Callithrix jacchus: one gene and its partners. The protein of the gene in region 2 interacts with the protein of the main gene of each other region in a pairwise test. Links are inferred from orthologs where the notes say so. Each region holds a gene or a part of one and is shown on either strand. Other genes may lie near its edges.

Region 1 (3,742 bases), about 40 Mb from region 2:
ACACTCCTGCCCTCCTCAGCTGGAGGACAAAAAAAGGTATGGTACGGACAGAGCCACTGGGGGGACCCAGACATTGTCTCCCAGCTTCTTCCCAGAACCAGCCTCTTCACATCTCCCCAGAGCCAGCCTCTCAAGGACCCAGTTCTCACCCTCCTGGCTTTCCTCCCAAATGTCACTGTCTTGAGAGACTCCCAAAGGTATTTCTGCCTTTCTCCCCAGCTATATTCCAGCTTGCCGGGACCTGGGCCGTCTCCCCAGAGTTACCTGGCGTCCTGGCCCCAGACCAAAGGGGCTGTATCAGTTCTGGCTGCCACCGGCCCTCGTAGGGGGAGCCCCATCCTATTCCTGGGGCCTGGCCACACCAGCTGGGGCTCTGGGAGATACCCTGGTTGTGAGGGAAGAGTTGTTAGGAAGCACCAGCTCCAGGGACCTGTCTGGGGTTCCCAGGTTGGAGGGCCACGAGTAGGGGGGCAATGGTAGGAAAGGTACGGACAGCTGCCCCTCTGGAGTGGCTGAATGCAATGTGAATCCAAGGGCAGGGACGGTGATATTTTTATTCCTTGTCACTCAAAAGTGTAATCAACATTCAGATAGAGGAGGGAGAGAAAGAGGCTGGAGAAAGGGCAATCCAGAGAGAGGGGCACATGGGCAGAGACATAAGGGTGGCAGTAAGAAAGAGAACAGGGGCAGAGAGTCACAGACAGCAAGCAAATAAGAGAAATAAGACAAAAGGCAAATCTGCAGTCATGCTATGAAGGAAAGAAGGGGAGAGGAAAGGAAGAAGAGACAAGAGGACAGCAAACACAAGGTGTTAAAGAGGCAGAGTAGGGAACTCTCAGGCCAAAGCACAAACTGGGAGCCTAGAAGAGAGATGAGAGGAGAGGAAAATGCAAATGCAAAACTTGTCCTTTGGGTCGGGCACAGTGGCCCAGGCCTGTAATCCAAGCACATTGGGAGGCCAAGGTGGGCAGATCACAAGGTCAAGAGATCGAGACCATTCCGGCCAACGTGGTGAAACCCCATCTCTACTAAAAATACACAACTCAGCTGGGCATGGTGGCACACGCCTGTAGTCCCAGCTACTTGGGAGGCTGAGACAGGAGAATCGCTTGAAACCAAGAAGACAGAGATTGCAATGAGCCAAGATCATGCCACTGCACTCCAGTCTGGCAACAGAGGGAGACTCCGTCTCAAAAAAAAAAAAAAAAAAAAACTGTCCTAAAATTCCCCCCCCAGTGTCTGTCAGCAAGAGAGAATCCAGTTCCCACCTAGGGCCCACAATCTCCACACACCAGGCCCATACTGCTGATGGACAAAGTCCAAGGACTGGAAATACAACCCAGGACTGGGATCCACAGGGCCTACTTCGTGGGCTCTAAGCCCCTTGCCCAGCCCCCAGCACTTCCTCCTCAGGATCCAGGACAATGGGCAGGGGAGGGTGGGGTCATCCTGTATCCATCAGACCAACCCTCAGGGCACCACCCTTGAGGCACCCAGAAATACCTGTCTTTGAGGGTAGAGGGTCCCTAGGGCCTCCCTGAAAGGGAGAAAAAGAAAAGAAAGCCGGCTGGTCCCAGCCTGGGGCTAGTGCTATGGCGTCCACTGTCCTGGGGAAGGTGCCAGGCTGGAGCCCAGGAATGTGGGTGATCGGGTGCCCACACCCTGGGAGGAGAGGTTGAGCAGCCCACGCCCACGGAGCGCAGGGAGGAGGACCATGAAGAAGGATAAGGGATGCTGAGCCCCCTCCTGTGGCCCCAGTGGGCCCTAAACTCTTGTCACACTGGACCTCCCCTCACCAGCCTTCCTGGGTAGAGTATGGAACGGTGAGAGGACTGGTCTGTCCCCAGACAGGAAGGGAGTAGCTGGAATCACAGAAGCTGGCTCAGGAAGAACAGCCCTGACCCCCGAAACCCTGACCAGGGGAGGGAAGTACACTGGTGGAGACAAGCAATGGTGACGCCGCTGCTGTGGCTAATGGGACAGAGAATCGGTGGCACGGCTGGGAGCCGGCGGGGTAAGGGAATAGAGGTAGGGACAGGGTTGGCCGGTGCAGCTGTGAAGGAGCAGAGGGCTACAAGAAGGATACTGGGCGGCTGGGGTGGGGCCGACAGGGCCGAAAGGGGGTCTAGGGCCACCCGCACCTTACCCACCCAGCGGTTCTCACACAGGTCCCCGCCCGGTTTCTCCAGGCGGCCATGCGGACCCGTCCTCCTGTCCAGCCAGCCGGCAGCCGCCCGGGCCTGGCACCTCACTGCGCCTCCGCGGAACAAACAGCACATGATTCCGGCTCTGGAGCCTAGGTCGCGCCGCCGGGAAACGCAACCCGGACCCCGGCACCCCGCCCCCCAACCCGGCACATTCCTCCGCGGGCGTCCCTTCCCTCCCCCTTCCCCAGCCCTCACCTCGGCGCGACGGGGCTCCCGGAGCAGCTCCGCGGAGTGAGAGGGGCAAGCTTTCCGGGAAGCGTGAGGCGGCAGCGGGGAGGATCCGGGGCCGGTTCGGAGCTGCCCCCGCCCCTCGCCGGGTCCCCGGGCGGCGGGCGGCGGACTCGCGCCCCGGGGGCGGCAGCAGTAGCGGCGCCAGCGGCCGGCGCCCGCCCGGGCAGCGCGAGCTGGGGCGGGAGCAAGGGGCGGGGGACGCGCGGGCACGCGCGGAGGAGCGGGCGCGCGCAATCCCAGGAAGGGGCCGGGAGCGACCCGGGCTTCTCTTGTTAAAGGGGCAACGCTCCCGGCCTGTGGGGCCCAGTGAGCGCGGACGCGGGAACTGAGCTCCGGACGCGGAACGACGGACAGACACCGCGATACAGGAGGGTTGCGGATGCCTAAGGAACAGGGAAAAGTCAGGGGCTGACCGACGGGGGGAGACGCAGTCCCGGGACCCGCGCACGTCGCCGCCGTCGGAGGCAAGGCCAGGGGGCGGAGCCTCCTGCCGAGGCCCGCCCAGAAGGTGGCTCCGCTGAAGTCCCACCCTCAGGCGCGCGCCGTCTGCCAGCTCCTCCCGCTGCTCTAATCGCAGTCTCTCTCCTCCCCGCCCTGCCAAGTTCTAGAATTCGCCGCGCAGCTGCTTCAGGTGCTGAGGCCAAGTGCGGCCAGCCGTGACGCGGCTCCTCGGGCGCTCTGTCCCCGCCTGGCCCTTAAGTTCCGTCGCCACGGCCGCCGCCTCAGGCCCAAACAATCCCTTCAGGCCCCTGTGCCGCCTCAGGCCGGAGCCGCTCTCTCAGGCCCCGGACTCCCCTCAGGCCCCAGCCTGCCCCTCAGCCTGGGCCCACCACCTCAGGGCCCCTCTTCGAGGGGGAAGCAGGTCCCCACTCTCGCCCTCGGGCTCTACTGCCCCGAAGGTCCGGCCACGTCCGGTCCACCTGCAGAGGGTCCCAGTCGCTCCTTCAAGCCCAGGCCGCGCCCTTCGGCCCGGCACTTCCCTCAAGCGGGGCTCGGGGCTCCGGGCTCCAGGCAGCCCCTCAGCCCCAGCCTGAACCTCGGGTCCTCATCCACCTCCCCAGGCCGGGGCCACCCTGAGGTCAACTGTGGAGGATCCTTCCTGGATTCCTTAGCTCTGTCCTGCCCTTCGATCTAGGTCACCCGCTCGGGCCCAACTATCCGAGGCCCAAATGCCCCGCAGCTCCCGCTGCCCCCCAGGTCCTGCTGACTGCCCTCCGAAGTCAGGACATCCCTTTCAGACCCCACTTTAGCCCCTTTCAACCTAAATCCAGCTAGCCCCGTCTGCCGCTTTAGTTCCGCATACT
Region 2 (3,742 bases):
AGGAATGGACAAAGACAGAGGCCGATTCCTGGTGTCTGTCTCCCCTCCCCTTTCTACTGAGTCCTTACCTTATGCCCAAGTCACAGGAAGAGCTCCTCACCTTGGAGATCTATTTTCCTACCGCTTTAGATGCTGAAAGGGACACCTAACATTAATAACTGCAATATTGTGGCCGTATCAAAGAATCCTACGTTCAAAACCCAATAAAGGTTCTGGTCAGAAATCCTCACGCCAAAATATAACTACAATAACCTGTAATTTATTTGGAAACTACAATCATAAGCTTTCCAATCGGTTTAAAAAAAAAAAACTCACATTCTTTCTAGTTACCACAGCCAGTTTAATTAAATAGCCCCAATCCCCACAAAACAGAAAGCATTCAAGTATCATTTGTTTCCTACGGAGAACACTAATAGATGAAGAGGGGAACATCTGGAGATGAGGGCGGAGGGGAGTCTTCCAATATAAGCACACCTATTTGTTTGATTTTTCAACACTGAAATAAAGAGAGCTGACCTTGAGCTGTACTTCCCCATTTTATCCCTTCCCTCCCCCAACAGCAACTTTGTTCAATACAAATAACAAAGAATTTACAAGACGAAATTTAGTTCAGCATATTTCGTATATTTGAGCTCTAGAGGACTTGTCTTATTTTCAAATCCCTGAATCCTCATTTCTGATAATGGGAACCAGCCCTGAGGTTATTCACATGACCAAATCGGCATTTCCAGGAAAGCAATGGCCCTCTGAAACATTTTGAAATATAGGTAGCTTAACCAGGAAAAATCTCACATCAAGGACACTAGATTCCAACCATGTCTCACCCCACCGTACCATGCAAAAGCATGAAAACCACAGCAGCCGCATACAGGACTTCTGGTTTCGGTAATACCACAGTATCGAAAAATTCTAAATGTGAGGGAAATTCAAGTCTACAGGTCAAAAAAGGTGGATGGGGGGGAGGATGAAGAAGAAACTTCCTGGCAGACACAATGGATATTTCGATCAAGTTCTGAAAGAGGACTGAAGAACCAATTAAGGGCAAAGGGACAATGAGCAAAGAGGAACTACTCAAAGTCCTACATAAACCCACTTATTTAAAATAAAAAATAATAATAAAAAAAAAGAATAGGACCTCCAACCTTCATAACTCAAAGACCCCAGGCCCAGCCGAGTGCCTGGAAGAGGCAAAGGTCCCCCACGAAGTACAAACCCGCATTTCGAGCCTGCAGAGTCAACCAAAATACAGTTACTAAACGCTACTGGAAACAACTTTATTTCAACAGGTCTTTTTTTTCCCATGTGTCATGAGGGTGCGGACAAACTGTAAAGTCATCGTTTTCCCAAACGCGAGGACGAAGGCTCGAACCCAGAGTCGCGCAGCCCCCTGGTCTCCTGGTTCCATCCATCAGAACCCGCTGCTGACGGAGCCAGAGAAAGGTTACAGGAACTTCGAGCTTCACCATTTAGAGCGCGGAAAAGGGGCGGGAGCCCGGATCTTCTGGACCTCCCCGGAAGGCGGCGAGGGGGGAAAAGCCCGAAACCCCTCACTCCGCGGCGCCGGCGGACGCAAAACAAACCCGACCGCGGCCCCGCAGCCCGCCACCGCCCAGGACCCAGAGCAGCGATGCTCGCTCGCCCGCTCCCCGCTGTCACCCAGGGCGGCCTCCCGACCCAGGCCCGAGGAAGCGCATCGCGTTCCAGGCTCTCCTTTGTGAGACTCCACGGCCGCCGCCCCACACGAAGCCTCCGGGGAGAAGCCACCGCCCCCACCCGCCATATTTCCCTGAAAGGCGCCCGCGCTACAGCTCCCGGTCTTGGCGCTCTCCCGTGTGGAGGGTGCTGCTTCCCCCGTCACCCTACCCAATCGTTCTCCACCTCCCAAGGCCGTCCCGGAAGCTTCCCTGGGGGTGGCCGGTTCCGCGGCAGCGCCCGCCATCTCCTCCCCCTCCCCCGCCCCGGGATTCGCCCTCCCCCCAGCCGCCATTTTACAACCAACTCCTCCACCCCGGCCTCTCGGCCCGCGAGGTATGTGTAGCTGAGGACAGCGAAGGGGTCACATTCCGGGGCACACGGCCTCCCGTCGCTCCGGGAGTTCCCAAGCCAGGTTCCGCTCCCCGAACCCAAGTCCCCGGGCCACGCTCGCGGACGATGCCGCCATTTTGTCTCCCGTTCCCGGCCTCTGTGGGCGGCGGCAGAGGGTCCAAGAATTCCAGCCCCCCGTTGCCCCCACAACTCACCGTCGTATCGCTCAGCCTGCTCGGCCAGCTTCGCCTGGTACACCAGATCCTCCCGATCATCCATAGCGGCAGCGGCTCCGGCAGGGTCTGCGCGACGGATGGAAACGGATAGTGTCTACGACTCTCTCAGCCTTTCGCTCCGCGTCCGGGCAGCAAAAATGGCGGCGCCTCAATCCGGGACTTCCGCCTGCGCACGCGGACAACTGCTCAGCTCTATGGCAACCGCTCCCTGGCAACTGGCGCGGGGGGCGGGTCCTGGAACCTGCGCCGGAGACGCCCCTCCTCCGTCCGCTCAGCGGGCGCCGGGGCCTAGAGGCGGGAACTGCGACTGCCGCGAGGGAGCGGCCCCCGGGGAACACGACGGCGGTGGCCAGGCCGGCCCGGGCTGCTCCTGAAAACCGCGGGCGCGAGACCTGGGCCAGACTGACGGCCGACGTCCGGCCTGCGGAAAACCACCACGGAGGCTGGGACGGTTTCTGTCATCATAGCAGGTCTTCCTGCCTGAAATCAGCGCTGTTTCTACCGCGCCCTGGTTTTCTTTTTCCTTTTTCTTTTTCTATTTTTTTGAGATGGAATTTCACCCTATCGTCCAGGCTGGAGTGCGATGGCGCGATCTCGGCTCCCTGCAACCTCCGCCTCCCGGGTTCAAGAGATTCTCCCGCCTCAGCCTCGCGAGCAGCTGGGATTACAGGCATGCGGCTCCACGCCCGACTGATTTTTGTACTTTTCGTAGCGAAGGGGGTTTCTTCATCTTGGCCAGTCTGGTCTCGAACTCCTGACCTCAGGTGATCCGCCCGCCTCGGCCTCCCAAAATGCTGGGATAACAGGCGTGAGCCACCGAGCCCAGCCAGCGTCCTGGTTTTCTCCGCCAAGCCTGGTCGTGGGCCTTTTGCAGACACTTTTACCCTCAGGGTAAAGAGCTGGGCCCTGGCCCCGGCGCGGTGACTCACTCCTGCCATCCTAGCAGTTTGGGAGGCCGAGGCCAGCGGATCACTGAAGTTGGGAGTTCAAGACCATTCTGGCCAACTTGGCGAAACCCCGTCTCTACTAAACAATGTACATATGAGGCGGGCGCGGTGGGGGGCGCCTGTAATCCCAGCTACTCCGGAGATTGACGCAACAGAATCATTTCAAACCGGGAGGGGGAGGGTGCGTTGAGCCAAGACGGCGCCATTGCACTCCAGCCTGGTCAACAAGAGCAAAACTCCATCTGAAAAAAAAAACAACACTGGGCCCTATTACAGTTGGCAGGGACAGGGGAGCTGCAGTTTTCACGCCTCCACTTTGCCCTCACACTCATCTTTATCTTCTCCTGTTTAACCTTTTTTCCCCAGAGGCTGCCATGAATGGGAGCAGGGAAATTGTTAGAAGAGGATGGTGTGGAGTACATAGTATAGAATAGTCGAACTGAGATCAATTTAAGATTGAGGAGGCAGGAATAACTCAGGGAACATTGCTTCAGTGCCTGGGCCTTGGGAGGCTGAGGCAGGAGAATCACTTGA
Region 3 (3,742 bases), on a different chromosome or scaffold from region 2:
CTCGCCTTTAGGGAGAAAGAACCCTAAAGAGGGCAGCGTTACATCTGCCTGCTGAGTACAGCGGCTTCTTTTCTAATAGATTACTGCTCTTTTTAGGACGAGATTTGATCTCTAAAATCAGAGCCCAGAACACAGAAAGCTATACAAGTCTTACAATGTGTCGGGGTGTGTTTTTAAGACATGAAAATACTTCCCTCCCACACAAATGTGAGTTCTTCTGGGGAAAGATGCCACGGATCCCAGAGTAGACTATCTGGGAAAGCGCGATCAGTCTTAAAAATAGGTAATTGAAGACAGATTTTAGAATTCACACGAGCTACCTGAAAAAAAATTACATCTCTCATATTTTTGATATCCAAAACTCCTTCCTGATGAAACTTCTAACTGGGTGGCATTTCGCATTTCCAATTATAATAGAGTAATTGTGTTGCCATAGTTACTGCAAAATTCTGCAATAACTTTTGCTGCTTTGTAACTGCTTTAGTGTATATTTGTGTACAAGCAGCTGAGTTTTCTTAACTCTATCTCCCTCCCTTCCTCCCTCCCCCTCCCCAGCCGCCACCGCCACCACCTTCCCAGGCTGGGTCCTGAAACCACCACACCCGCCTTCTTTGGACGGTCCCGAAAATAATGCACAGAATTATCAGAAGCAATTAAAACTCCAGGCAACCACGATCATATTACAAAAGAAAAAGTGAAACCAGGTCAAGGTGCAAACCTGCCAGTATCCCCCTCAGTCCTGCTGGGCTGGCGCTGAGCCAGGGCTGTTTACAGGTTTACTCCCAGGCCTTACTGCTTCGGCGATTTGTGGGAATAAACAGAAATGCCTGAATAGAGAAAAACGGGGCGGCAAAGTGGCTACACAGGCCCTTTCCTCCCTCACCGAGGGCAGGCAGAACTGCTCTCAGCAAGCAATTAGGTAGGTCTCCACAGTCATGCAATTAGGATTTAGTTAAGAAAGTCATTAGTTTTAAAATAACTTAAGTTTAATTTCTGCAACGCTTTATTTGAAAATTGTGTCACAGCAGGTCAATTTACAACATGCAATAAAGAAAACACTCATATCAGCTGCCTCAAGTTATTACAAATTTTTGATGTGCATTAAATGAGTACACAGGGTTCCACCCCCGGCCCTTCCGACTGATACACACGGTCTCCCGCTAGAACAGTGTCAAATAATTCAAAGCTCAATGTAAATACAAGATAATTTGCTTATGATTCTGTGGTGTGTTTTCGCAACGCCGAGAAACGCGGATCCCACCCCCGAGCGGGGCCGGGCCCCATCTCGGCCTGTGGACGCCCCACGGGCTGAGCCGAGGGGGTCCCAGGCAGCCCCCCGCCCTCCCACGAACCCCGGGGGCTCACGGCGGCTACGACACGCGCGGGGCCGCGGACCCCTGCGGGGAGGTTTTTCTGCAAACTCACAGCATTTGACAAAGTTACATAAACGGCGCCCGCCCGCCCCCGCCCTCACTCCCGGCGGCCCGGAGCCCACCTGCTTGGGGGGCGCGGGCTCCGCACCGGGCCACGGCGCCGCTGCCGGCCGTGCCCACCCCCGCGCCCCCGCCCCGGCGAGCGAGGCCGCCTCGCGGCGCGGCTGGAAAGGTCCAGAAGGGGCCGGGCGGCCCTGGGGACCGCCGGGTCCCACGGCGCGCGGCCCGCGCTGGCCCCCGCCTCCCACGGCCGCGCGCGGGGCGGGTGTGGACCGGCTGCGTCCACCTGCCGCGGGCTCCGAGGCCTGCGGGCGGCGCGGGGCGCGGGACGGGCGGCGGACAATGGCCCGCGGGCGCCGGGCCGGGGCTGCGCTTACCGCGGCGGGCGGCGGCGGGCGGCTCTAGCCCTGCTCGGGCGCTCCGCGCCGCATCTCCTCAGCCTGCGCCGCCACCCGCCGGCGAGCGGGCTCGGGCTCGGGCGGCGACAGCCGGGACGCGGCCGCAGCGCCGCCGGGGGCCCAGGCTGGGAGGCTGCTCGGGCGGCGGCGGCAGCGGCGGCGCGGGCGGGAGCGCGGGCTCGGGCTCGGGCTCGGGCGGCGGCGGGGACGGTGCTCCGCGGCGGCGGCCCCACAACCTCCCCTCCTCATTCACAAAAAATTGACCCACGTTGAACCATGATGCTTCTCCCCCCTCCAGCGCCGAGCCGGGCGGCAATAGGCCACCCCGCACGCCCGTCAGCCGACCCGGCCCCGCCCCGCCCGCCGGCGGCTCATCAGCTATTGGCTGCGGTAGCCTTGCGTCACCTCCCCTTGCGGGCCCCGCCCCGCCGCCTGGTTTCTAATGAAGAGCTCGTCAATTACGGCTCGGCCCCGCCTCCTGCCCGCCCGCCCCGGGCGCCTGGCCGGCCATCCATTGGTCCTCTGGGGCCTGCGCACAGCCCGTCTGCTCCCACCCCTCGCCCAGGAGCTGCCCAACCGCGGGGCCGGACGCCCTATGAGCGACAGAGAGGCTCCACCCATGCCCGCCTCCCCGCACACGTCCTGGACCTCATTGGCTCTCGGAGCTGCCAATTCCAGGGGGCGGGCGTACCGAAGGACGCTCCAGGCGCCAGCCACTGGGTGTTTCGCTTTGCGGTTGGGGAAGCGCTGGGACCCGGGGCCAGCAGTGACCGTAAACACTGGCCCTGGCCGTATCGTCCCAATCAGTAGCCCGCATGGCTGTCTAAGGGTCAGCACCGCGTGTCTGCGAGCCTAATTCGCGCTTAGAGAGCACACAATGGGATGCAGGCTGAGGCCGGGAGCCGGCCAGGCCTCGCCGCGACCTCCATCTTAGGTACTGGCAGTAGGTCACGTGGTGCTGCGTGCGCACGGAGGCGCAGGGCGGCCGGGTCACCGAGTGCGCAGGCGCGGCGGGCCTCGCCCTGCCCCGCGGCGGGAACGCGGCCGTGGGGGTGCGGAGCGCAGGCCGGTCAGGCCTACAACGGCGGGTCGTGGGACGCGGCCTTCGCATCCCTGCGCAGACGGAGATAGTCCGGGCCGCCGCCAGGGTCTCCAGTCCCGGGCCGGGCAGACGTGGAGGGGGCGGGAGCGGCGCAGTGGCCGGGTGGGCGTTGTTTTAAGGCGGCGGGGCTTGTGGGGGGGCTCGTGTGGTTAAAGGTCGGGCCCGGCAGCCCCGCGAGCGCCTTTGGTGGCCACAGCCGAACGGTGTGGGCGGTGGTCTTCAGTGGCCACCTCCTGGCGGTGAAGTTGCCATTTCTTTCCAGCAGGAGTGTGACAACTTTTCATCTTTGGTGCACAAGATGAAACGCGGAACCCCGCGTTCCAGGGAGGAAGCGCCTTTGACAGCTCGCGCCGGTGCGTGGGCCCTGCCTGCGTGGGCCCCGGGACGCTGGGCCTGGCGGAGATGCCCGTCCGCTTCGACTGTAGGCCGTTCCTCCTCGGAGCTGAGCAAGGATCCGTCCTTATGGCATTCTCGACCTGTGATTCTTGGCGGGGGTGGGGGGGTGATATTGTAGTTATGTGGATAGAAATACAGTTAGCAAAATAAAAATGCCAATTTTACATTAAACGTCTCAATAACTCATAATTGGAAAACTTTGGTCATTGTAAGAAATGCTTACTCTGAGATGGCTGAACGCGGAAGGAAAGGAATGGTGAATGACAATTTTAAAACAAGATAGAGCTGAACAGGGGAGCGATTACGGGGTTTTGGAGGCTTAGCTGCTGATGGAAACGGTGCGCCATCAAATTTTCCTGTAGAATGAAACAGTCTGTAGCTAGCTAACATCTAGATGATAAGATTCAGTATCA

What was found. The genes of interacting proteins can lie anywhere in the genome.
Region 1: the proteins of YWHAE (region 2) and KIF1C interact in binary tests that used the Homo sapiens proteins (3 or more experiments, as listed by UniProt). The link is inferred for Callithrix jacchus from reciprocal best matches to the Homo sapiens genes YWHAE and KIF1C.
Region 3: the proteins of YWHAE (region 2) and HDAC4 interact in binary tests that used the Homo sapiens proteins (3 or more experiments, as listed by UniProt). The link is inferred for Callithrix jacchus from reciprocal best matches to the Homo sapiens genes YWHAE and HDAC4.

Annotation. Positions count from the first base shown.
Region 1 is NC_133506.1:106,566,638-106,570,379, reverse strand, and holds the start of KIF1C (kinesin-like protein KIF1C), read right to left. Parts: upstream 2,604-3,742; 5' UTR 2,403-2,603; intron 2,252-2,402; 5' UTR 2,151-2,251; intron 386-2,150; 5' UTR 265-385; intron 20-264; 5' UTR 1-19. UniProt on the Homo sapiens protein: Motor required for the retrograde transport of Golgi vesicles to the endoplasmic reticulum. Has a microtubule plus end-directed motility.
Region 2 is NC_133506.1:66,853,231-66,856,972, reverse strand, and holds the start of YWHAE (14-3-3 protein epsilon), read right to left. Parts: upstream 2,417-3,742; 5' UTR 2,305-2,416; coding exon 2,241-2,304; intron 1-2,240. UniProt on the Homo sapiens protein: Adapter protein implicated in the regulation of a large spectrum of both general and specialized signaling pathways. Binds to a large number of partners, usually by recognition of a phosphoserine or phosphothreonine motif.
Region 3 is NC_133507.1:160,740,957-160,744,698, forward strand, and holds the start of HDAC4 (histone deacetylase 4), read right to left. Parts: upstream 2,143-3,742; 5' UTR 2,100-2,142; intron 1-2,099. UniProt on the Homo sapiens protein: Responsible for the deacetylation of lysine residues on the N-terminal part of the core histones (H2A, H2B, H3 and H4).